Linked DNA regions of Saccharomyces cerevisiae S288C. Changing the gene in region 3 together with the main gene of any one other region gives a genetic interaction. Each region holds a gene or a part of one and is shown on either strand. Other genes may lie near its edges.

The links.
Region 1: mutations in NUP53 (region 3) and POM34 together harm fitness more than expected from each alone (negative genetic interaction), as found in Saccharomyces cerevisiae (6 studies listed by BioGRID, with this or other methods).
Region 2: mutations in NUP53 (region 3) and NUP188 together harm fitness more than expected from each alone (negative genetic interaction), as found in Saccharomyces cerevisiae (5 studies listed by BioGRID, with this or other methods).
Region 4: mutations in NUP53 (region 3) and NUP57 together harm fitness more than expected from each alone (negative genetic interaction), as found in Saccharomyces cerevisiae (3 studies listed by BioGRID).

The regions. Positions count from the first base shown.
Region 1 is NC_001144.5:177,069-181,517, forward strand, and holds POM34 (Pom34p), read right to left. Parts: upstream 2,539-4,449; coding exon 1,639-2,538; downstream 1-1,638. Other genes in the region: PML1 (Pml1p), read right to left, coding at 1-348; MEU1 (S-methyl-5-thioadenosine phosphorylase), read left to right, coding at 540-1,553; PSR2 (putative phosphatase), read left to right, coding at 3,220-4,413. UniProt on the Saccharomyces cerevisiae protein: Functions as a component of the nuclear pore complex (NPC).
Region 2 is NC_001145.3:61,242-69,858, forward strand, and holds NUP188 (Nup188p), read right to left. Parts: upstream 6,309-8,617; coding exon 1,341-6,308; downstream 1-1,340. Other genes in the region: MDM1 (Mdm1p), read right to left, coding at 1-1,081; CAC2 (Cac2p), read left to right, coding at 7,053-8,459; CUE4 (Cue4p), read right to left, coding at 8,494-8,617. UniProt on the Saccharomyces cerevisiae protein: Functions as a component of the nuclear pore complex (NPC).
Region 3 is NC_001145.3:562,255-567,102, reverse strand, and holds NUP53 (FG-nucleoporin NUP53), read right to left. Parts: upstream 2,669-4,848; coding exon 1,241-2,668; downstream 1-1,240. Other genes in the region: RIM13 (Rim13p), read left to right, coding at 1-1,104; YIM1 (Yim1p), read right to left, coding at 2,910-4,007; endopeptidase catalytic subunit IMP1, read left to right, coding at 4,575-4,848. UniProt on the Saccharomyces cerevisiae protein: Functions as a component of the nuclear pore complex (NPC).
Region 4 is NC_001139.9:727,084-731,924, forward strand, and holds NUP57 (FG-nucleoporin NUP57), read right to left. Parts: upstream 2,589-4,841; coding exon 963-2,588; downstream 1-962. Other genes in the region: 40S ribosomal protein uS12 RPS23A, read left to right, coding at 275-647; Golgi transport complex subunit COG2, read right to left, coding at 2,950-3,738; ammonium permease MEP1, read right to left, coding at 4,366-4,841. UniProt on the Saccharomyces cerevisiae protein: Functions as a component of the nuclear pore complex (NPC).

The DNA.
Region 1 (4,449 bases), on a different chromosome or scaffold from region 3:
TGTATCCAGACTGTGGCCCAGTTCACGACCGACTAAATAACAGCTCCTGCCGTTCAAATCGTATCTTTTCCACGGTCCTTTATCCTTGTCATTCTTTCTGTATATCACTAGTTCATACATAGTCCTATCTCGCGCCTCCAGTCCTAGCATATCCATGTAGTTATCTGGAGAAATAGCGTCCTGCGGCTCCACATGTTTTAAAGCTATACCTTCTTTGTTATTCGACTCCAGCTCTAACAGACCGGAAGGGCTGAAGTCTGGCATAATATCGATGTACTGCGATTTGAATTTCTTGTCATCATGGCCATAATTTCTGGTGTTATAAGGTCTTTTGCGTCTGTGAAACATGTCTATACGCAAATGGAGTCGGAAATGAAGTACACCATGCTTGCTGTGGCTTTTACGTTATACCAAGGCTTCTATTGTAGGACGCCTTTATTGTCAATTATGTGAAAAGAAAGCAAAAAAAAGAAAAAGAAAAATGAAAAAAGATGAACGTGTGAATGAAAAAAAACTATTTCGAGATGAGATGAGATTAAATGAACAGGATTAAGAATACATTTTCTGTTGCTAAGAGATTAAAACTAAGCAAAGTTATGACGAACTCAGAATTACCGAGCATATTCGAAGGAACTGTTGATTTAGGGATTATTGGTGGTACAGGTTTATATAACCTTGACTGTCTGGAGCCCATCGCTTTGCTTCCACCCATGGTAACACCATGGGGTACCACATCGTCTCCTGTCACAATCTCTCAGTTCGTAGGAACTAACAGCCACTTTCACGTTGCGTTCATAGCCAGACACGGTATTAACCACGAATACCCACCCACTAAAGTCCCATTTAGAGCAAACATGGCGGCCTTAAAGAACTTAAATTGTAAAGCCGTTCTTTCTTTTAGTGCCGTGGGGTCTTTACAACCCCATATAAAGCCTAGAGATTTTGTGTTACCACAGCAAATAATCGACAGAACTAAAGGCATAAGACATTCTTCATATTTCAACGATGAAGGCTTGGTAGGTCACGTTGGTTTCGGACAGCCGTTCTCTCAAAAATTCGCAGAGTATATCTATCAATTCAAGAACGAGATAACAAATCCTGAATCCGAAGAACCGTGCCATTTGCATTACGACAAGGATATGACCGTTGTGTGTATGGAAGGCCCACAATTCTCCACGCGCGCTGAATCCAAGATGTACAGAATGTTTGGTGGCCATGTTATTAACATGAGTGTTATTCCAGAAGCCAAATTGGCGCGTGAGTGTGAGCTGCCTTACCAGATGATTTGTATGTCTACCGATTACGACGCATGGAGAGATGAGGCAGAACCTGTTACCGTAGAAACCGTTATTGGTAATTTGACGAATAATGGGCGCAATGCAAATATTTTAGCTTCTAAGATCATCGTCTCAATGGCCAAGGAAATCCCAGAGTTCATGCATACTGGCGATGGGCTGCGCGGTTCCATCAAGAAATCTATCTCTACCAAACCAGAGGCTATGTCCAAGGAAACCTTAGAAAGACTAAGATACTTATTTCCAAACTATTGGTAATGGTTGCCGCTAATCATATGTAAAATATAAATAGGAGAGAAAACATATATAGCTATGGAAAGTATTAAATGTTTTTTTGCTGTTTTTATATTTTCCCCCTTGGGGACTGTGAGTTCATCATATATGCATATTTGCTACTTGGAATGTAGCCCTTCCTAGTTACAGGGGTATGCGGCGAGTTATTGTCATTGTTAGCGCTCACTAATGTGCTACTGATACCGCTATGCCTCTGCAGTGTGCCAAATACATTCTTTGTGTGTAAGGATTGAGATTGTAGTTTCGTCTGTTCCTCCGCCATTTCCCTTTGTCTTGCTTTCAAAGGCGTCTCTAAGCCTTTGAAGAGATATGCTGGATGATTTTTGAGATTTGTTTGAGGAATATGTGTTTTGTTCTGTGCCATTTGGCTGATCTTAGAAGTGGATACGTAGTGGGGGTGTTGTGGCTGCAACCCAGTATCGACAGATGATTGCATGTCTACCCCCAGGAGCTTCTTTTGCCTGTCAGTGAGATTCAAATCACTTACTTTGACGGTGGATAAGAGCTTCCAAAGAGAAAACAGTATATTGAGCGAGATTAATAGGTGGAACAAGTAGTCAAGAAGTTCTGCATTCAACCAACTGAACGTGGTGTGATATATGATGTTAGCCTTCTTTAACGTGTGAAATGTCAACATGTACAGATGGATTCTGGATAGCCGGTTGCAAAACTGTCTCCCAACATGAGTGTTGTTCCAAAAGAACTTGATGAACTTCACCAGCAGGTTCCAGAACGCAAACGCAATTACGTTTGTCATAATTCTCTGCGTCTCCATTTCCTTGTTTACCGTTCGCCGTGATAGCTCCTTGAGCACAGGACTTTCAAAGTTGCCCAATTTAAACATTGGTGTGTCATTTTGTGATTGTGATGAGGGTTTGCTGTCTGTGTCCGGCAATGGTCCCGGCACGTCATTATCGTCCAGGCCCAATTGGCCCGCCTGAATCTTCATAGTTCCCTCTATTATTTTTTTGCCTCTGCGGATATATTAAAAGTCTGTATATTGTCAAGTTCTTATAATATAAATCTTTTTGTTCATCATAACCATCTTATTAATTGTTATTATTTCTATCATTATTACTATTAGCACAAATTTCATTTTTTTTTTTTTTCATTTTTCTTTAGACTTTAGCCCTAATTAGACCTGAGAAATATTATTATAACCTGAGAAAGGTTTATAAAAAGAACATTATAACCTACAAAAAAGATACTTAAACCCTGAAGTTAATAGGTTTGGACCCTCTTTTTTTTTTTTTGCTTTTTTTTAGAAAACCTCAGTATTCACAGTCTAAGGAACAGATAAAGAGAAGCTTTATGAAAGCAGTCCACAGTGCCACGAACTTTGACATATATAATTGACTTGTGGGGGCTACCGACTGGCTTATATTTCTAAAATTTAGAGATTTGATTATCTTTTTCGCAGCGCGTAAAAGAAACCCACGAAGCATCGCTTAATTTACACATATTCTTCGTTCTCCCCTTTTGGAGAGGATTTAAGCTAAGATATATCTTTCTTCGAGCGCAGTGCTGCTTTTGAGTTCTTTCGTTTTAATTTTCCACTTATTTGGCAATAAAAACTGAGTGAAGAGTGCTTCTCTGTCTGTTTTAGGGAGCTTTTTCAGATCATCATCAGATGGGATTTATAGCAAATATACTGTGCTGTTCTTCAGATACTTCCAAAACACATCGTCAACGCCAACCACCAGAAACTAATCACAACCGCAACCGCAACCGTAAGCACAGTTCAAACAAAGCTCAAACTCAGGGTCGTAAGCAGAAGGCTACTCCAAACGGCGACAAGATGCAATATTCCACACCGGAGATCCTTTTGTCTAGTTCCGATTCAGGCAGCAATGCGGGTTCCAAGACAATGCAGGAGAATGGGAATAGCGGCAATGGAAAACTAGCACCTTTATCAAGAGATCACTCCAACAACTCGTACGATGAGGAGAAAGAATATGAAGATTATAATGAAGGAGACGTAGAAATGACGGAGGTTAACAATGCCGGAGAAGAAGAAGAAGAAGATGACGAAGCAAAAGAAAAGCAAGACCATGTCGTTCATGAATATAACGTTGACGCAGATAGAAATTCCAGTATTAATGACGAGGCGCCACCACAACAGGGTCTGTATCAGGTGGGTCAAGAAGATATGAATCCACAATATGTCGCCAGCAGTCCTGATAATGATTTAAACTTGATACCTACAACGGAGGAGGACTTCTCTGACCTGACGCATTTGCAACCAGACCAGTACCATGCCCCCGGATACGACACTCTGCTACCACCCAAGTTGCAAGAATTTCAACAGAAAAAATGTCTGATATTGGATCTAGACGAAACTTTGGTACATTCTTCCTTTAAATATATGCATTCAGCTGATTTCGTTTTGCCCGTCGAAATCGATGATCAAGTTCACAATGTCTATGTTATTAAGAGGCCAGGCGTCGATGAGTTCTTGAACAGGGTGAGTCAACTATACGAAGTTGTTGTGTTCACGGCAAGTGTTTCGAGGTATGCAAACCCCCTTTTAGATACGTTGGACCCTAATGGAACCATCCATCATCGATTATTCAGAGAAGCTTGTTATAACTACGAAGGTAACTACATCAAGAACTTATCGCAGATCGGAAGACCATTGTCCGAAACAATCATCTTAGATAATTCGCCGGCCTCTTACATCTTTCATCCGCAACATGCTGTTCCGATATCTTCTTGGTTCTCTGATACTCATGATAATGAGTTACTAGATATTATCCCACTTTTGGAGGACCTTTCATCAGGAAACGTGTTGGATGTGGGGAGCGTGTTGGATGTGACGATATAGATTTCTCAGTAACATAAAAAGCAGGCTCTTTTTATT
Region 2 (8,617 bases), 500 kb from region 3:
CATTTTCTTTCAATTGGTATATTTTGAGGGCCAATGAATACGCAACATATTTGATATCACTTAAATCCAACAAGGAGTCCAACTGGTTGAGATAATGCTCGAATTGTTTTCCAGTATATTCAGCATTAAGCTCCAATTTTTCACTTGAGGGTTCTCCAACATCTTTGTTCGCTACGTCATTCATCACTTTTCTATGATCTTGTAACTCTTTACTCAACATTCTTCTTATCTTGTGAACTTTGTGCTTTTCCTCGAAATAATTTTGTGAAAGGCTTACAATTCTTAAATTCCAACTATCTGGATCAGTAAATTTGAAAATTAATGGAGAAATAATGCACGTAGTGAGAACTTCCGTCATTAATGTGAAAACAAGCAATGAATCTAACTCATCATTATCAAAAAGGTGAGGAAGGAGCCCGATTACAGTTTTCCTTATGGATTTTTCAATTTCTTTCTGAAGAGCATTCGGCTTCAATGATAATGATTTATGTATTTTGTAATTTTTATTAAACTCAACGGCAATTTGTAGATCGATGTTGGCTGATTTATGCCTTTCAAGAGTCAAATCGCTTAGCACAGCTTCTCTGGCATCACAAAAAGTGCTGAAATGTTTGTTAAATATAGGCAACAGCTTCAGAACAATCAAGCTGGCACTATCATTCTTCATCAACTTGTCCTTCACCACTAGGAGCGTTTGTAATAATCTCCACTTTATTACTTTGAGGAACTCTGCGTCACTATTCTTATCGATTTTTGTGAACCAAGGCTGAACAAAATCTTTAATAATTAAATTAACAATACTCTCTAATTCTTTCCCAATTTGCGCGTTCCCATCTTGTATTAAACCCTCGACAGACTTCAATTCTTTATCAACATCCACAGTATTCGAACTTTCCGGTACGATATCAACAAATCTTGGCTGAGGTTTCGGTAAATCAGGCAAGGATTTGAAGAATACGAAGTACGCAAAGATGCAGACATTAAGAAAGAACCCCAGCGAAAAAGTGATTACCGACCATTGTATCATTGATATTAAGTAAAACAAAACTAAAATCAATCGAAACTGTGGAAACTTAGGCATACGATATCATATCAGAAGGCACAAACACGCGCACTTATGGCGCTTTCAAAGCATGAGAGTCTTCGGTTAATTTACTTATCTTATTGTTTACATATTTTTGAAGTTCGTAAGGCGATGAAAAAAAAAAGTACACAATGGATAGAACTGGGATGGAAAAAGCTCATACAGTCGCAGTCCGCAGTATAGCAACAAAGGGCCACCCTTGCACTTGCACTGTTCATTATTATATTATGTAGCTTTACATAACCTGCAAAATAAGTTAAACGTCCTTAAATAGTGAATCTTGTAATGCTTTAATGTCTCTGCTGATACCCTTGACGAACTCCAATCTGCTTGATTCATCCTCCAACTGCTGTTGCTCTTCTAAAGTTGTAGGTATTATTCTTGAATTCAAGTATTTTGGATGTGTTAGAAACTTGCTTAATGCAGCGCTTAACCTTTTTTTATCATGTTCAGAATCTAGACCAATAACCAATTCTACAGCTTCTTGTTGATCATCAGAGTTTTTAGGCTGAATAAACAATTCTTGGTAATTTAGCAAGTTTAGCATTTTTTGCAATAAAACCAATTGATTCGTTTCCTTTATCAACGAACTTGACACTGCTAACTTGTTGTCACCCCAGTTATATATTGTAGATTTTATTTGTTTTCCAAAATATGAAACAAATAGGCACGTCTCAGGTAAAACCTTGATACCGAACTGACTTAATAGTAGTAGAACAATGGATAACAAACCATTGCTCCAAATGTTGTGCAATCTAGGCGAAAATTCAGGTTTTATATCACCTTGCTGTATTGCAACAGATAGTGGACTTTCCAATAGAACGCTATACAATCCACTGTTGATGAGTTTTGCAGCAATTGGCTCAATAGAACACAATTCGGAGATAAAGGTCAGAGTAATTTGCCCAAGAATTGGTTCATCGTTAATCCTTATCAAATGCGCGCTTGAATATAGGTTCAGTATAACTTTCAAAGTTCCTACTTCGTTTAGGGATGATGCTAGAATAACATTGAAGTTTTTAGAGGGATTCACATTGGTGATCTTCTTGAAGAGTGATAATAATAACAATAAATCCTGAGTATTATCCTCCAAGTTGACAATTTGGGTGGTGTGATCGGTGCTTAAACCCCTCGTGGAGCATTTATTGATCTGACATAATATCTCAGACAGTATCAAATAAACACCCTTACTAAACACTAATTCAAAAAATTCCAGTAGTTGATCAGATATTAATTCGATAAAACGATCTCCTGACGAGACTAACTCGAGAAGAACTAAGACAGATCTCAAAAGAGGTCTATAAAAGTTATTTTTTAGTGACTTACCAATATTTTTAATAAAGTCAATCTCACCAGATTTGAAAATTGTAAAAATCTTGTTCATCAATTCAATTATCTTTTCTTCCTTCAACAATTTTCCCGACAACTTGAACGAATATAAAATGTAAAACGACAACTCAATTCTTTCCAGATATATTTGGGTAAACATTTGTTTATCTGAACCAAAATCAATATTTAACTTGAGGAAATGCTCTACCAAGTCGACAAAACCATCATTTAACGGAACAGTGCTCCTCTTCACAAACGTGGTGATTAGTGCGCCCCATGCTTTTGCGGTAGATATTTCGTAATTGACATACTGCAAATTTAATGAAGCGTCTGTTATTTCCTCCTTAAAATTTGTCTGACTCTTACTTGGTTCGTTCCAACTACGGTCAGCTTTTAAAACTATATCTAATAACGGAATATCATAACCGAAATTCTCATTTTCGTTTATTCTGGATAATGGAATTTTTTGGAACGACTGAAGCTCTAAACTGGGCCATTTCTCTTTAAATTTTAAGTTTAATTCATCATGAAAAGTTTTATTGAACCCATCAATTTGGAAGAAATGATGAACTAATTCAAACAAGTCTTCCTGATTCAAAAAATTTAAAATTTCCGAGTTTGAATCAGTGGAGTTGTAAATACACAACGCAAATATTTCTACAATCCTTGAGATCAATTTGTATTTCTTAATCAAAGAAACAGTTTCGTCACGAGTCAAATTTTCCTTTTTCTGAAATAATTTTTTTGAGTCCTTCAACTTAGCCAATAAGGAATTCACAAATTTAGGATCTTTTATGAATATTTTAGAATTTGTCCAAGTGTTTAAAACATATGTTATCGTTTCTAATAACTTGCAACTTACTTCTTCAGGCGTTGAATCTAATAGTAAAGAATTCTTTTGCAAAACAGTTAATATAGAACTCTTTTTGTCTATGGAGGATTCGTCATTAATTTTTTTATTGGAGGCAAATTGACCTGTTAAGAAGAGGATAGATAACCCATCTTGTTTACTTTCTAATAGGGTAGTAAAAAAAATGTACAAACTTCGGAGAAGGTTCCAATCTTGCACTGGAGAGCTCAGGTCCGACAGGACTTCTTTCAAAAATGCCATTGACTTTGCTTCACCAAGGAAAGATAACAGAAATGGATAGTCGTCATTCCAAGGAGCCTCTACTAAATAGCTTAACAACTCTATGATCTGCACTTTGAAATGAACATAACTTGGTAGGGTATAAACGTCAACCAATTTTGATGAATTTATGAAAAGCAATTTTTCCAGGTTGCTTGGCTTTAAATCACGATTGCTACCTCGAATAGCGATCAAAAGCGTGCACAGCTTGAAGGAGTTATTCATTACCTTGCTATATAAATTACCCAAAATTTTGTCGCCTAAAATTTTTGTTGTGGTATTCAATGGTGAAATCAGAATATTCGTCAAAGTATTTGGAGCCAAATCAATGGAATCCATGGGAGTCAAAAATAACTGCAACAATTTGTTTGCTGACGAGGAAATGATTAACTGATCCTTTTGATGTGGATTTATGGTGAAAACGTCATGAAGTACATCATAAAAAATTAATGTCAAATGGAAGGCAATTTCGAATTTTTGTAAGAAGTTGTTGTACTTCCAGTTGTAATAACTCTCAAAGATATGAATTGCATGTAGAATCAACTTATTAATAATATCAATTTTACTTCTCTTGGAAATATGGATATTTTTCAATGAGAGAGATTCTCGAATAAAGACTTTTGTTAGCTTAAGCAATTGGATAGTGAATGTGTAATCCCCCGTAGATAATTCAACCGAACCGAGTATCATATTGGAAAGACCAGTCTTACCATATTTGTCTAACAAATCCGATTTGTTCAAGTAAGAAGAAACAAGATGAAGGTAATTCGGTGTCAGCATAGTCATAAATTCACAACATTGTACAATTGAGGTATAATCTTTTCTTTGTAGTGATATTTCAAAAATCTCGAAAATTACTTGGATAATCGACGCTCCATTTATGGTGCTGGCTGAAGTATCCAGAGAATTTGATAAATATGACAGAATTTCACTAGATTTCTCGATCGAGGTTTTCGGATCGACAACGTTAGTGACTAACTTTATTATGGATATCATCAATTCATGTTGTAAGTCATCCAGTTGTGTACCCTTTTCCATATATGAATGTAATAGATTTTGCAATATTCTACCCACCAAAGACCAACCATTGAATTTGTAAAGGAAAATAATCAAATTGGAAGTAGTTGGCGGCTGTTGTCCATTCTGTTGTTGTTGTTGTTGTTGTTGTTGTTTGATAGTAAGAATTTTTCCCTTTGTTGATTTTGGTATTGACAAGAGACAATTAGAGTTTTCGTTTTCTAAGGGTGGCGCCACTAGTAAATCAGACTTCAACTCTATCAAATCAGGCACTATAATATCGGAGGATGAAGAAGAGTTTGTTATTGTATCAGCAATTAAGTCATAATCCAAATCGTTCAAACTACTTTTGGTAACAGCAAATGAACATATATCTTTTAATTCAAAATTGGCAAACTCGGTATCAATTAAGGCTAAATTAATTAGCGGGATCAGTGATTCGTTCAATAGGGGCAATTTAGCCTTTATGATGCTCAATTTTTTCTCAAAAGTGTCATTAGTTAAGAAATTCTCAATGAACTGCTCTGGTGCCTTTGAAATTATCTTGGCGAAAACCCGGGAAGTAGATGCAGTTATAGGAATAAAATTTAAAGAAAACTCCAAAAATACTGTTATTACTGTGGTGTAAACAGGATCAAAGGATAGAATTTCTGAGAGAGTATTCAATTTTTGAAGAACATCATGTGATTCAGCAAACAGAGCAAATTTCGTTATGTCTGAATCATCAAATGATTCCGACGATTGTAATGCTCGCCTATAATAAAGTATAAATGACCAGGAGTAATGAATCATTGGATGGAAAATGGGGTCCTCGTTGACGATATTGGTTGCTACATCATTCTCTAGAGCGCTATTGACGGTGTCGAAAGTTTCTGTATCCATGTACAAAGGTGACTGAATATCAAATTGCGCGATTGAAGTGTTCAGTCCAAGTATCAATATAGTTGTGATAGTAAATAAAGATGAAATCCTGGAAATAAGCGTTTCTGAGAGGTAACTGAGGTCTTGGAAATTCTGAAACTTGTACAATTGTAGTGACGAGGTATCTATACTCTTGTCTGTTGAATTTATATTTCTGCAAAATTCAACAAATTGATTTTGATACTGTAGAAACCATTGATTGACGATATCTACTGGTACTTTTGTGTTGAGGATCATTAAATTCAAAATTTGTAATATCTGCAAGATAAACTTCAAATCAGAAAATTTTTTTAACTGCACCAATGAGACAATTGTGAACATGTCTTGATCGTTATTATAATCATGTGCTAAAGATGAAGCTGTAATAATGTCGTAGTTCTGGATTACAGATGATATTATAGAAATCAATTTCCCCACTACATTGAATCTATCGTTGTCAATAAATGAATATGTCTCGAGGTCGATGTCAGGGTTAACGAGAAGTGAGTATACTATATGAAGTCTAGATGATCTCTCAGACATAAAGAATTCTACAGCATGAGAAAGGTCCTCAGATTGAGCAAAGAATGGATCATTATCGACGTTTATTTGCAATAAGTTTGCAATTGTAGAGCGTAACTTGTTATGATCGCCGGAAGAAGTTACATTCTGCCTTATTGTGTTCAGACTCTCGATAAGATTTGTCTTGTTAGCTTTCAAAAACTGTCTTATTTGGGCCAATTGCTTGGCATCCACAGCGGATACATCAGCAGCAGCATCGTTCATAAAATTAGCAACATGAGTGAAGGTCAATTGTGGAGAGGAATTGCCAAATGAAGGTGTAGCCATGGCTGATGGGGTCCTTTTTTTAGCGGTGGAAAGGGTTATCTCTTTATTTGTGTTTCTGTTCGAATATTAAAGATGTCTCAAAGTATTCATTTCAAGAAGAAAATTTTTGGTATTACAAAATATTCTTACCCGGAATATATACATATATACCTTAACTACAAGCAGGAGCCGGCTTTCTGGCAAGGAGGGAGAAGACATAGATTGTTTGCGTATATATGTGGGAATAGCGTCCAAGCACGCCCGTGGCTGAGGGAGCACCACGATCGTTCGGTGTACTTGACACCTCTATATGGTATGTTCTTCCCTGATATTGATATCAGCACAATTACGGCTCTAAGAAACGATGAATATAAAAAACGTTAATTAGGAATTTGACATATGTGCTAGTATTCGGGCCCCTGAGCAAGTTTGTGCGCACGACGCCTGTCCGTTGCTGCACATGCTTGCGTGGGGCCTTTTTGTCGTGTTTTTATTTAGGGACTGTTATCGAAGGAATAGATTTCTGTGGTGAAAAGTAGAAAACTACTAGCTTTTATAGACGGTGGGGGAGAAAAAGGAAAATTAGAATTGAAAAAAATTTGAAAAAATATGAAAATGTGAAAAGGACGCCTTATTTCCTTGGGTTGCCCGGCGAACACGTTAGTTAACTCGCTGTCTAACTGATGGGCTATTATTATAGCGTTATAGTACGTATCAGAATTTAAAAGAAGGAGGCAGAAAAGCTTAGAGCAAAGGGGCAGGACAATGGAAGCTTCACATTTGCAAATCTACTGGCATGATTCACAACCCGTTTACTCGCTCACATTCCAAAAGAACAGTGCGAACGACAAGCTTTTCACCGCTGGTGGTGATAACAAGGTTAGGATATGGAAGTTGAACAGAGATGAAAACGGACAAAATGGGGGGGTGCGTAAGATTGAAAGCCTTGACTTTCTTGGCTCGCTGACGCATCACGAACAGGCCATAAATGTAATCCGATTCAACTCGAAGGGTGACGTACTGGCGTCTGCGGGCGATGACGGCCAAGTGCTGCTATGGAAGCAAGAAGATCCAAATACACAGCAAGAATCTGTGGTCAGACCATTCGGAATGGATGCGGAGACTAGTGAAGCAGACGAGAACAAGGAGAAATGGGTTGTGTGGAAACGGCTGCGTGGTGGTAGCGGTGCTACTGCGGCGGCAGAGATTTACGATCTAGCGTGGTCACCTGATAACAGGAACATAGTGGTGGCATGTATGGACAATTCGATACGACTGTTCGATGTTGGAGCTGGGATGCTGGTATGCGGCCAGTCGGATCATGGTCACTACGTCCAAGGTGTTGCATGGGACCCATTAAATCAGTTTATTCTCTCACAGTCTGCGGACCGGTCTCTGCATGTATATGGAGTCATTCTTTCATCTGCAGGAGTGGTTACAGGGCTGAAACTTAGAAGTAAGATTGCCAAGGCAGAACTGCCTTGTCCAGGTGATGTCCTGAGGACAAATTACCTTTTTCACAACGAGACGCTACCTTCATTCTTTAGGCGATGCAGCATATCGCCTTGTGGTGGTTTGGTCGTAATTCCCAGTGGTGTGTATAAGGTGGCTGGTGATGAAGTCGCGAACTGCGTATACGTGTATACTAGATCTGGAATACTGAACAGCGCTGGTGGCGTTAAAAACCGGCCTGCGATTAGAATCCCATCTTTGAAGAAACCAGCGCTGATGGCGGCTTTCTCGCCCGTATTTTACGAAACGTGCCAGAAGAGTGTGCTTAAGCTGCCCTATAAGCTAGTATTTGCCATAGCAACGACTAACGAAGTACTCGTGTACGACACGGATGTATTGGAGCCGTTATGCGTTGTGGGAAATATACATTACTCACCCATAACTGATTTAGCATGGTCTGAGGATGGCTCGACCCTACTAATCTCATCAACAGACGGATTCTGTTCGTATGTATCGATCGACACAGAAACGCAATTCGGTTCAAGGATAGAGCCGCCAGCGATGCATGCAGAGCCACTAGACACTGACGAGAGCGCGGTAGCGGCTAAGAACCAGCGCGAGGCAGGTGGGATCGTGAACATGCTGCCGGTGAAGAAGATCCCCTGCAATAGTAGCGATAGTAAAAAGAGGCGCATACATCCTACGCCAGTCGATTTGTGATTTTTAATATATTTAATGCGGTACATAAGAATGCCTAATCTAGTTTGCCAGCGAAGATATTTTCCATTGTGTGCTCAATGGACCCTGTGTTCCTGAGATCTTGCACGACTTTTTCCTGAGGCACATGTGGCGCCATCGTCATCACGATTTCAACCATG
Region 3 (4,848 bases):
TGGTTATTGCTAGAATCCCATTTGCAAGATGAAGGCAGCCAAGAAAATCGGTCAGTTTCCTTTTTGAATGAGGCTCCCGAATGCATAATTTGTCCAATTGAACCTCCAGTAGAATGCGGTGGCAATCACATTGGACTTCAGCTGGTAAAGTTGAGATTAGATGCTGAGACTGAGAGGTTATTGTATTGTTATTCAACAACAAACAACAATTTCAGTATTCACTCTTTCTCAGTTGTGAAGGAAATATGTTTTCAAAGATTGAAAGATACAAAAAGTCTTTTTGCCAAAGTCCTTTTCTCTTTTCCTTATGAAATAGAGGGAAAAGCCTCATTTGATACTTGTAATTTTTTTCAAAATCCGACTTTTGAGTTGGAAGTTCACTCTGAACAAGATTATCAAGTACTTATGGACGCCGCATGTATCTCAACTAGCTCACATGATTTAATTAACATCCAAGTATATTACTTTAATGACTATGAATTGATAAAGCCAATAATGTTTGATAACCACTATCAGCCCGGGCAGGGCCTTAAACAAGACGTGCCCATCTTAACTAATGTCAAATATATGATTGTATGCTCAACTTACGGCCCTCCAGCCTCAACGGAATTTGAATTACTTGCCTCGATACGGTTATCCTCTTCATGGAGGTTAATATCTGGAATAACTTTACGGAGTGTTAACTTGATATACGGTACTTATCCATATCATTGTCGCAACAGGTTCCATTGGAAGGAAACTTCAGACAAACTTAAAATTCAGATGACTTTGCCAACCAAAAAGTATTCTACGAACAAACTTTTTATACGTGTAGTACCCGTGGAATCATCAGCACGATTAAGGATGCGATGTAATATTTTCGAGCCTGAATCAGCTCTCTGTGTTTATGAATGTCAAGAGTATAGGACATGTCCATCTGGGGGCATCGTTATACCTGATCTGGAAGTCTCTCGTACTAACATTGTTGTATTGATGATAGAAAGAAGTGTACCTATTTCCAGTTGTTTACCTACGGAAGGACAATTGGATGAATTGGAGTTGTTTGTTGGGTCCAGTCAAAAAATCAGAATTGAAAAATACTCCGATGATGTGATACCAAAATAACTGTGCTTTATCTCAAGAACTGTCTATCCATCCTTTTTACAATTCTACACACAAAATTATATAACCTTGAAGTAGGTGAACATCACAGGATGCTGGAATCGCACCAAAGCACTACATTTGGGGGTAAGGTTTTTCATTACAAATCATTCCATCCAAATAACCAATTATTCAATCTATTTAACCAACTTTTCTTACTCTTGCTCGCTTGTTCCCTTTTCTTCAAGTCAGACTCGATCGAGCTCAGGACACCACTGTGGATCTTCCCTCTGTTTCTCAAAAATAATGAACGACCATCCTTTATTTCAAGCCTGCGTGGATTTTTGAAGGAAGTAGAATTCTTGGAAACCTTGAATTCTGCATTGCGCACTTTTGAAGTAACTGCTTTTGCCTTAGCTTTCTCAAAAATTCCTTCTGTTTTTCTATAATTGCTGAGGTCTTTTGAGCTTAAACTAGTTTGTGAACTTGTTTTATTGTTTATAATTTCCTCCGATTTCTTCAAGGAAGCTAATTGTTTGAGAGCAGCCGGACTATACGAAACACAGCCAATTAATGTTCCATTCATTATAATCCCATTTTCTTGTAAAGCACGAGATTTGGAAAGTTCGGATTTGTAAGTCAACTTGACCCATCCATCTCCTGTATATATGGGATATTTTTGAGCAGTCAATGACGGACTTTTTGACATGTTTTTCGAATTCAACTTTTTAAAATCTTTTATCACTCTAAAATCCTCTAAAATTTCACCGAAATTAGCAAAATGGAGTATAATAGAATTCGCAATCGTTTCTGGATATCCAAAGATAATAATGGCATGATCATCCCAATTCGTCGAGGCCCCTTCCTTACTCCCTGCACTAGCTTCACTTGACGCAGTATTCGGCGTTGTTTTCGTGTTTTTGTCGAAGAAATTAAGTATTCTGGAGGTCTTTTCTAGTGGACGGAAAGGCGAAGGTGTGGCTGTAGGCTTTCCATCAAAGGTTATGTTGGAAGACAAATTAGGATCTTCAATATTGTCAGTCTTACTTGAAAATATACCATCTTCTTTTTGCCAATCTGCCAAGGAGGTCTTGGGCGGTGCCTCATTAGAATCAAAAACTACCGTACCTAAATCTGAACTATGAGCATTGTTGTTGGCACTGTTATTATCATTTGGAGATACGTTTTTAAGGATGCGTGGATCTTTTTTAGAGCCAAAAGTGACATTGTTGAATCCATTGGAATTGGAAAACGCAGGTACATCTGCACTATCAGAACGTACGGGGCTTAAAGATTGGCCATTTGATCTCTTTATTATTGAATTTGGAATGGCTCTTTTCCTTGGATTATTGAACCACGCTGGATTATCATTCAGTTCTCCCGAGACAGTAGAAGGCGGATCTTCCATGAACAGCGGTTGTGGTGCACTCGGAAACCCGTTTAAACCTTTTAACAGTCCCGTTGGCTGCTTTTGCTGCTCCAGCTGCTCCTGCTGTTTTTGTTGTTCATGTTGTCCCTGTGATTCGGGCGCGATAACAGAAACATTGGTGAACCTGCTACTATTCTCTTGTTTTTGAAGGTCTGCCATTTTAAAAAGCTATGTTATTGAGAGTGCAGAGAGAATTTGGGCTAGCTGAGCTGTATATTTGAAACGTAGTTTGCCAGCTAATGCATCTTAAATTCTGTTTAAAAATATTGTGATGAGCTTTTCTTTCACTTCATGACAAGTCGGTCGGGTAATGCCCATCAAATAATACAAAAACTAATAACAATTATAATTATAGAGTTTAACTAAATATACTAACAAGTTTATGTGGAAAATATTGCCCTCATTTCATCTTAACAACCACTTTACCCTTAGCTCTGTTGGACATCAGTCTGTCAATAGCTTCTTTATATTGATCAAACTCGTAGACGGAATCAATAGGTGGCTTATAAGTGCCCTTCTTGATCATTTCGTTGCCAACTTCAATGAAGTTGTTGGGGGGATAAGGGTGTCCAAAGCGCCAGTTGTATTTTTTGAATGGGTTTATAGCCTTTAAAATAGAACTCAATGATACGAAATCTCTCCAACTGATATTCTTATAATCGGCCTTGTTATTTCCTGCAATTGTAACGTAAAAGGAATTTTTCGCCTTAGGTTTTAGAAATTGATCAATGACAGGGAAGAAATCATGGTTACCCACTGAATCAAAAATCATGTCAAATTTGTCGTTTTCCAACACGCTTTGCTTTAATTTCTTAACATTCTCAACGATGGATCCTTCGTCATAGGGAACCAAGTAGTCATATCCTAATTTCTTATTGCGTTCAATGGAATTCTTGCTACAAATGCCAACAACAGTGCCGATGTTGAAGTAGTTTTTTGCAATATGGACAAAAGCATATGACACAGAGGTTGAAGCGCCAATAACCAGAACTTTCGAATCAGAAGTCCAATCTTTCTTGAAATCGTATAATGTAGAAAAGGCTGTACCAAATGTTAGGGGCCAGGCAGCAGCATATACAAAGTCGTCATATGGGTCATTTTCGTCCTTTGGAACCTCCACCATATGTGTGATGGGTACATCTTTGGCAGGGTTGAGTATCAAGTAGTGTGTTAAAGTACCACGTTCACCATAAATATGACTGTACATACCATTCACTTTGTCGCCAACCTTCCAGCGATTGTCGACATCCTTTCCCGCTTTAATGATGACACCACTGTAATCTCTAGAATAAGTCTTTGGATACTTGCCAAATATGTAGGAGTTACAAAGCTGGTGAGTAATAAAATCAATTGGATTCAAAGCAGCAGCATGGACTTCTATAACAACTTCGTCATCTTGATAACATGATCTCAAGTCCAGCTCCGATGATGTAATTGTGACTGGAGTAGTATTGTTAACATAAGTAACAGATTTGTTGGTTACAATCTCGTCTGACATAGTTTTAAAGTATTACCTTTTGTTGTTCGATAATAGAAACGCCGAAATATTTTAGTTTTACTCCATTCAAATAAAGGCCAGTCATTTTTTTATGTATTAAAAGGAGGACAGTATTTTTGCCCCCCTCAACTTTAGAGGGCACTGAAAGGATTTTACAGCAGGAATCCTCTTAAGAAAATCGTCGCCGACAGTACACAGGAAAAAGAAGAGTAAATAATGATTTCTGCATATAATAGCATAATCATGTAATTTTTACTGCATAAATTACACAGTAGGTCGTTTATTTGTCTGTTGATCTTATGTCGTGAGCCCAGTTGATAAATTAAGAGTAGGGTGTTAAATTTACTGCAACCTATCTTCTCTTGAATATGGACTTGATATATTCTGAGCTTTTCTTTGAATATTCTCTTCTGTTGGTTTGAACCGCACAGCAAATTTATAACACTCTGACAATCTAAGTATTTCTGGGGAAAAAACATTCCTTCAATAAAAATGCTCCAGTATATTATTGCAAACAAAAACGGACCAATAAGACAGTGAATCATCCAACAGTGTACAATACCAGGGATGACGGTTGGTACACTTCCCATCTGGTCAAAAACCTTTTCTTATGCAATTAGGTCATTATGCTTCTTGCATATAATACATATGTATGCATACGAATTTACTGAGACGAGGGGAGAATCAATGTTGCCAACACTGTCAGCGACCAATGATTATGTGCATGTCTTGAAAAATTTCCAAAATGGTAGAGGCATAAAAATGGGTGACTGCATAGTAGCACTGAAACCTACTGACCCTAATCATAGGATTTGCAAAAGGGTTACGGGTATGCCTGGTG
Region 4 (4,841 bases), on a different chromosome or scaffold from region 3:
TGTGATATCGTTTTAGGTGAAGGAAATGTTGTGAGCTCTGGAGTGATAAATTTATCAGTAACATATCCTGGCGCAAATCAGTTTGGAGAGGCTTAAAATGACACGTCACAGTGATAAAAAGTAATGAATAGTGAACGGTCAGCTTCGGCCATTCTTCCCAATCTATAGTGTGGAAAATAAACCTTTTCTTCCCAAAATAACTCAGAAAGTCACAGGAGGCCGTTTTTTACAACGGAATCATTTTTTTACTAACAGTTTTTTTTTATTATTATAGCCGTTGGGCCGAAAACAACTACAAGAAGAGATTGTTGGGTACTGCCTTCAAGTCTTCTCCATTCGGTGGTTCTTCTCATGCCAAGGGTATCGTCTTGGAAAAATTGGGTATCGAATCCAAGCAACCTAACTCTGCTATCAGAAAGTGTGTTAGAGTTCAATTAATCAAGAACGGTAAGAAGGTCACTGCTTTCGTTCCAAACGATGGTTGTTTGAACTTTGTCGACGAAAATGATGAAGTCTTGCTAGCAGGTTTCGGTAGAAAGGGTAAAGCTAAGGGTGATATTCCAGGTGTTAGATTCAAGGTCGTTAAGGTCTCTGGTGTCTCCTTGTTGGCTTTGTGGAAAGAAAAGAAGGAAAAGCCAAGATCATAAGCACGAAAGTTATCCTCTCGAGGACTACATTGTTTTTGTACCTTAATGTATCTCTTTATTCTTCCAGAAAGTTCCTTCTAATTTCTTATTAGGAATGGGAGAGAATCACATCAATATTTTCTCTTTAATAGAATGTATAATTCAATAGAAAAAAACAACATAATTTGCACTTTATTTTGATGCTGAGAAAAGTTTTATAGTGAATGTCTGCTTCCCTTGGGTTGAAGTTCTGTTCATATACTAAGTTGGTTAATAATGCTATATATGTAATAGATCGATCTTTATACAATTCAGTCATTGATTTAAGTAACCTGATTACGTTTTATTTTTATATTTTTTTACAATTGCAGCATCTTTCTCTAAAACCTCATTTAAATATGTTATACCGCGTTGTTGATTCGTCAGAATTTCCACTATCTTATTAATACGATCATTAGATTCTTCACCGGTGCCTTTGGACATGCTGTCTTGGTTTTTTGTATCGTCGTTGAAAACCATTAATTTACTATCTAATTGACTAGAAATGTTTTTAGCACGTTCTTTTAAGATAGCCAAACGTGCCCAAAGTTCGTTAGTCTTACCTAAACCTGCAGGATCTTCGCTCCGCTGTAGTAAAGTTTGGAATTGCGACCACATTTTCTCTTCTGCAATACCCAATGGCAGTCCTCTATTTTTCAGGGTTGCCAATTGTGTGCCCAATTTTAAGATTCTTTTTTCAATTTCAACATTCCTTGATTGTGCCTTCAAAATTCTGGACGCAGTGTCCAATTCATGCTTTTGTTGCAATTGTGTGGATTTCTCTAAAATATGGTTCAAAATTATTCTAGCTTGGGCTACATTTTCAGTCTGTACTTGATTACGTTGATTCAAACCCTCAAATCCATATATTTGAATGGGAATTGTCTGAGGGGAAGGTTTCTTTTCCATTGCCTGATCCCACTCTTCTTGAAGTACATGTCCTGGTTTTGTATATAAAATGGCTTCCGTTTCGTTCACTTTATTGTACACGAAAGCCCTGAGTTTTGTTTTCGTTGTGTTTGGATCCCACGATTCTTTACATTTCAACACCTGTTCTTGAATTTGCTGCGGATAATTAGACAGCTGCTGTTGTTGAGCAATTGCTTGCGTTTGTTGCAACGGTACTTGAATTTGCTGCTGCTGCTGCTGCTGTAAATTAGATCCAGTTGAAGGCTTAGACCAAGCAAATGATGGTTGTGTGGATACCGTGTTTCCAAGTCCGGGCGCAGTGTTTGTTTGAGGCTGCTGGGATTGGCCAAAAAGGCCACCTCCCCCAAGGGTATTGTTATTCTGGGTGCCGCTTCCAAACAGGCCACCATTAGTTGTTGATCCTTGTGGCTTACTGCCAAATAGGCCTCCCGTAGTCGCTGTAGTATTCTGAGGCTTTGCACCAAAAAGTCCGCCTGCATTCATGTTAGATGTGTTTTGAGTGCTATTGCCGCCCATCAGTGAGCCAGTGGATCCTACTTTATTACCAAATAAACCCCCACTTGTGGTACTATTGTTTTGTGCACTGTTGCCGAAAAGACCTCCCGTTGTGGTAGTTGGCTTGTTTCCAAATAACCCACCTCCAATGGTGGATTGTTGAGGTTGTGCTGTTTGTTGCCCAAATAAACCTGTTCCAGTAGCTGTAGTTCCTGAAGCGGTAGTGCTTGAACTTCCTAGGCTGCCAAGAGCAGGCTTATTACCGAAAAGGCCTCCACCTGTACTACTTTGTTGGTTACTTCCAAAAGTATTTGTGGCCTGATTTGCACCAAACCCTCCGGTAGTAGCCGTCCCAGAATTTGGCTGGCTGCCCCCAAAACCAAATCCTGAAGCCGAAGGTTGAGTATTTGTATTGTTATTGTTTTGTCCAAATGAAAAACCGGTCGAACCAGCTGGTTTATTTCCGAACCCGTTATTACTACCGCTGAAACCAAACATGTGATCAATTGGTCAACAAGGTATGTCTTTTGTTACTAACGAGCGTTTCTGGAATAGTTTGAACGGGATAATCCTCGATTTAGTCTTTCAGTCCCTTTGGCAAAAAGTTGTTTACATCGACTTGGAGAGTTGGACTTTTGCTTTTACTCATTTCAAGAAACAAAATTTTTGAAAATAATCCATTTCGCGTACGTTCAAAATGATATAATTACACATTGGCAACAATTATTTAGATTATATCACGTAGCTATTGTACTATTTTCCTATGAGAGAACTGCTGTAGCCATGTGGGATGATCATGCGGGCAAAACTAAAATACTTATATCAGTCCACAATTGAAGTATGGAAAGTTTTCTCCCAACTATGCCGTTTTTATAATGGAGACTAATGTCAAAGATAGGTTTTGCAGGCTTGATGGGTTTTCAAGACACTTTTCGGTCAAGATTTTCAGTGAGATTTGAAATTCTTGCAGAAGGTCTTGATAGTCATTGCGCAGATGATGAATATATGGTGAATTGGAATCAGCACAAGACTCCAATATTCGACGAGATGCCGTAATCAACTTATACAACTGCTCAATCAGGCCAGAGCAAATTTCTTCTTCTAATGGTTCTATACCGCACATTTCATGGAGAGATTTACTCAATCTCTTTCCAAGTGAGAGCGCTTCTGTCAATTGTGAATGGTTACGCAGAGAGCCGTAAATCTCATCTAACTTCTTTAGGTATTCCAGGACATCCTTTATAATTTCTTGTGTATTGCTGATGTCATCCTTTATCAAATGATCTAATTGAGTCATAAATTTTTGAAGATCACTTTGTGTTTTCTCTAAATTTATTAGAGTTTCATTTTCTTCATCTGTATAGGTATTGGAAAAAGTCAGATAGTCGTCGTAGTTACTTCTTATTTGTTCTAATAATGTTTGTACCATTTTTTGTGAAAGTCCAGACAAATCTCTAATAAGGGAATCGAGAGGAAGGTAATGGAAATTTTTCTGCACTAGGAATCTGTCGACATCAAAGTTATCAACATCGGTCCCATTAGTCTCGGATTCACGATACTTCTCTATTTCTGTTGCGAATAACTCTTTCGATATTTCTGCGGTTACCGGTAAATCTAAGTCTAGTTCATCATCATTCAAAAAGTCCATTTCGCCCTGAGAGAAATTGCGACTATGACTGTTGACCATTCCCTTTTCATATTATTTATTATTCTATATTTTTTCTAAGCTTCATTTTCTTGTCCTGTTGAAAATTCCATGAAATCGAGGTAAAGGCCCGAGCAATAATAATTTTAATTTAAATAAGGCACCCTCATAAAAACGGTCTTACATCCCATTATACCTAAATACGTATTTTTTGGATCTAGAGTGTTAACTATTTCACGATTACCGGTTGGTGTACTCAAATAATTAAAATGTTGAGGACTAAGAGAGCCTATATTTTCTCGAGAACATAGTCAAAAAGACTCCATGGCCAAGTTGGTTAAGGCGTGCGACTGTTAATCGCAAGATCGTGAGTTCAACCCTCACTGGGGTCGTTTTTTGCTTGAAATGAGCAACATTGGAGGAAGATTTGTGAAATCCTCCAGTTTTCTTTTTTTCCTCTAGGTTTTAACGAATGTGATAAAAGATAACTAAATAGGAGGGTCATTAAAATGCTAGGTAACGTATAAACAATGCACATCTATACATATATGAAGGTTTGAATAAGGAATAAATAACACGTGCTCATAAAAAATCAAGAGAGCCAAGCTGGAAACAAAATCAATAAACCGTTTACCTATTGGCAGGATCTTCTTGATGAATTGGTAGGATCTTTTCGGATTGAATCATTTCTCCATTCCCATCCGAGGAACTATTAGTACCGCTACTGCTACGTTCAGCGGCCAAATGAGCGTTGTTCACCCGGTGATTTACATCAGAGCGTTGTGAATCTTCGTCTACACCCCATAGATAGTAATCTCTTCTCACTTCCACATAATCGTACGCAAATTCGCCAATTTGATCTTCGTCCATACCCGCCTCCTCTGCCTCTTCTGATATTCTTAGCCTCATACCGGGTATGTAGCCGAGCACAAAGCAGATTATTGCAGTTACAGCAGCAGTGTACCCAATGGATGCGGCAATGTAAGCGATCTGCTTATACATTTGCTTGTAATTGTGAGTTACCCAGCCGCCCTCGTGCTCTGTAGTGCCATCCATACCAATGACCCAGTCTGCTCCAAAAAGGGCATTGAAAATTAGTCCTATTA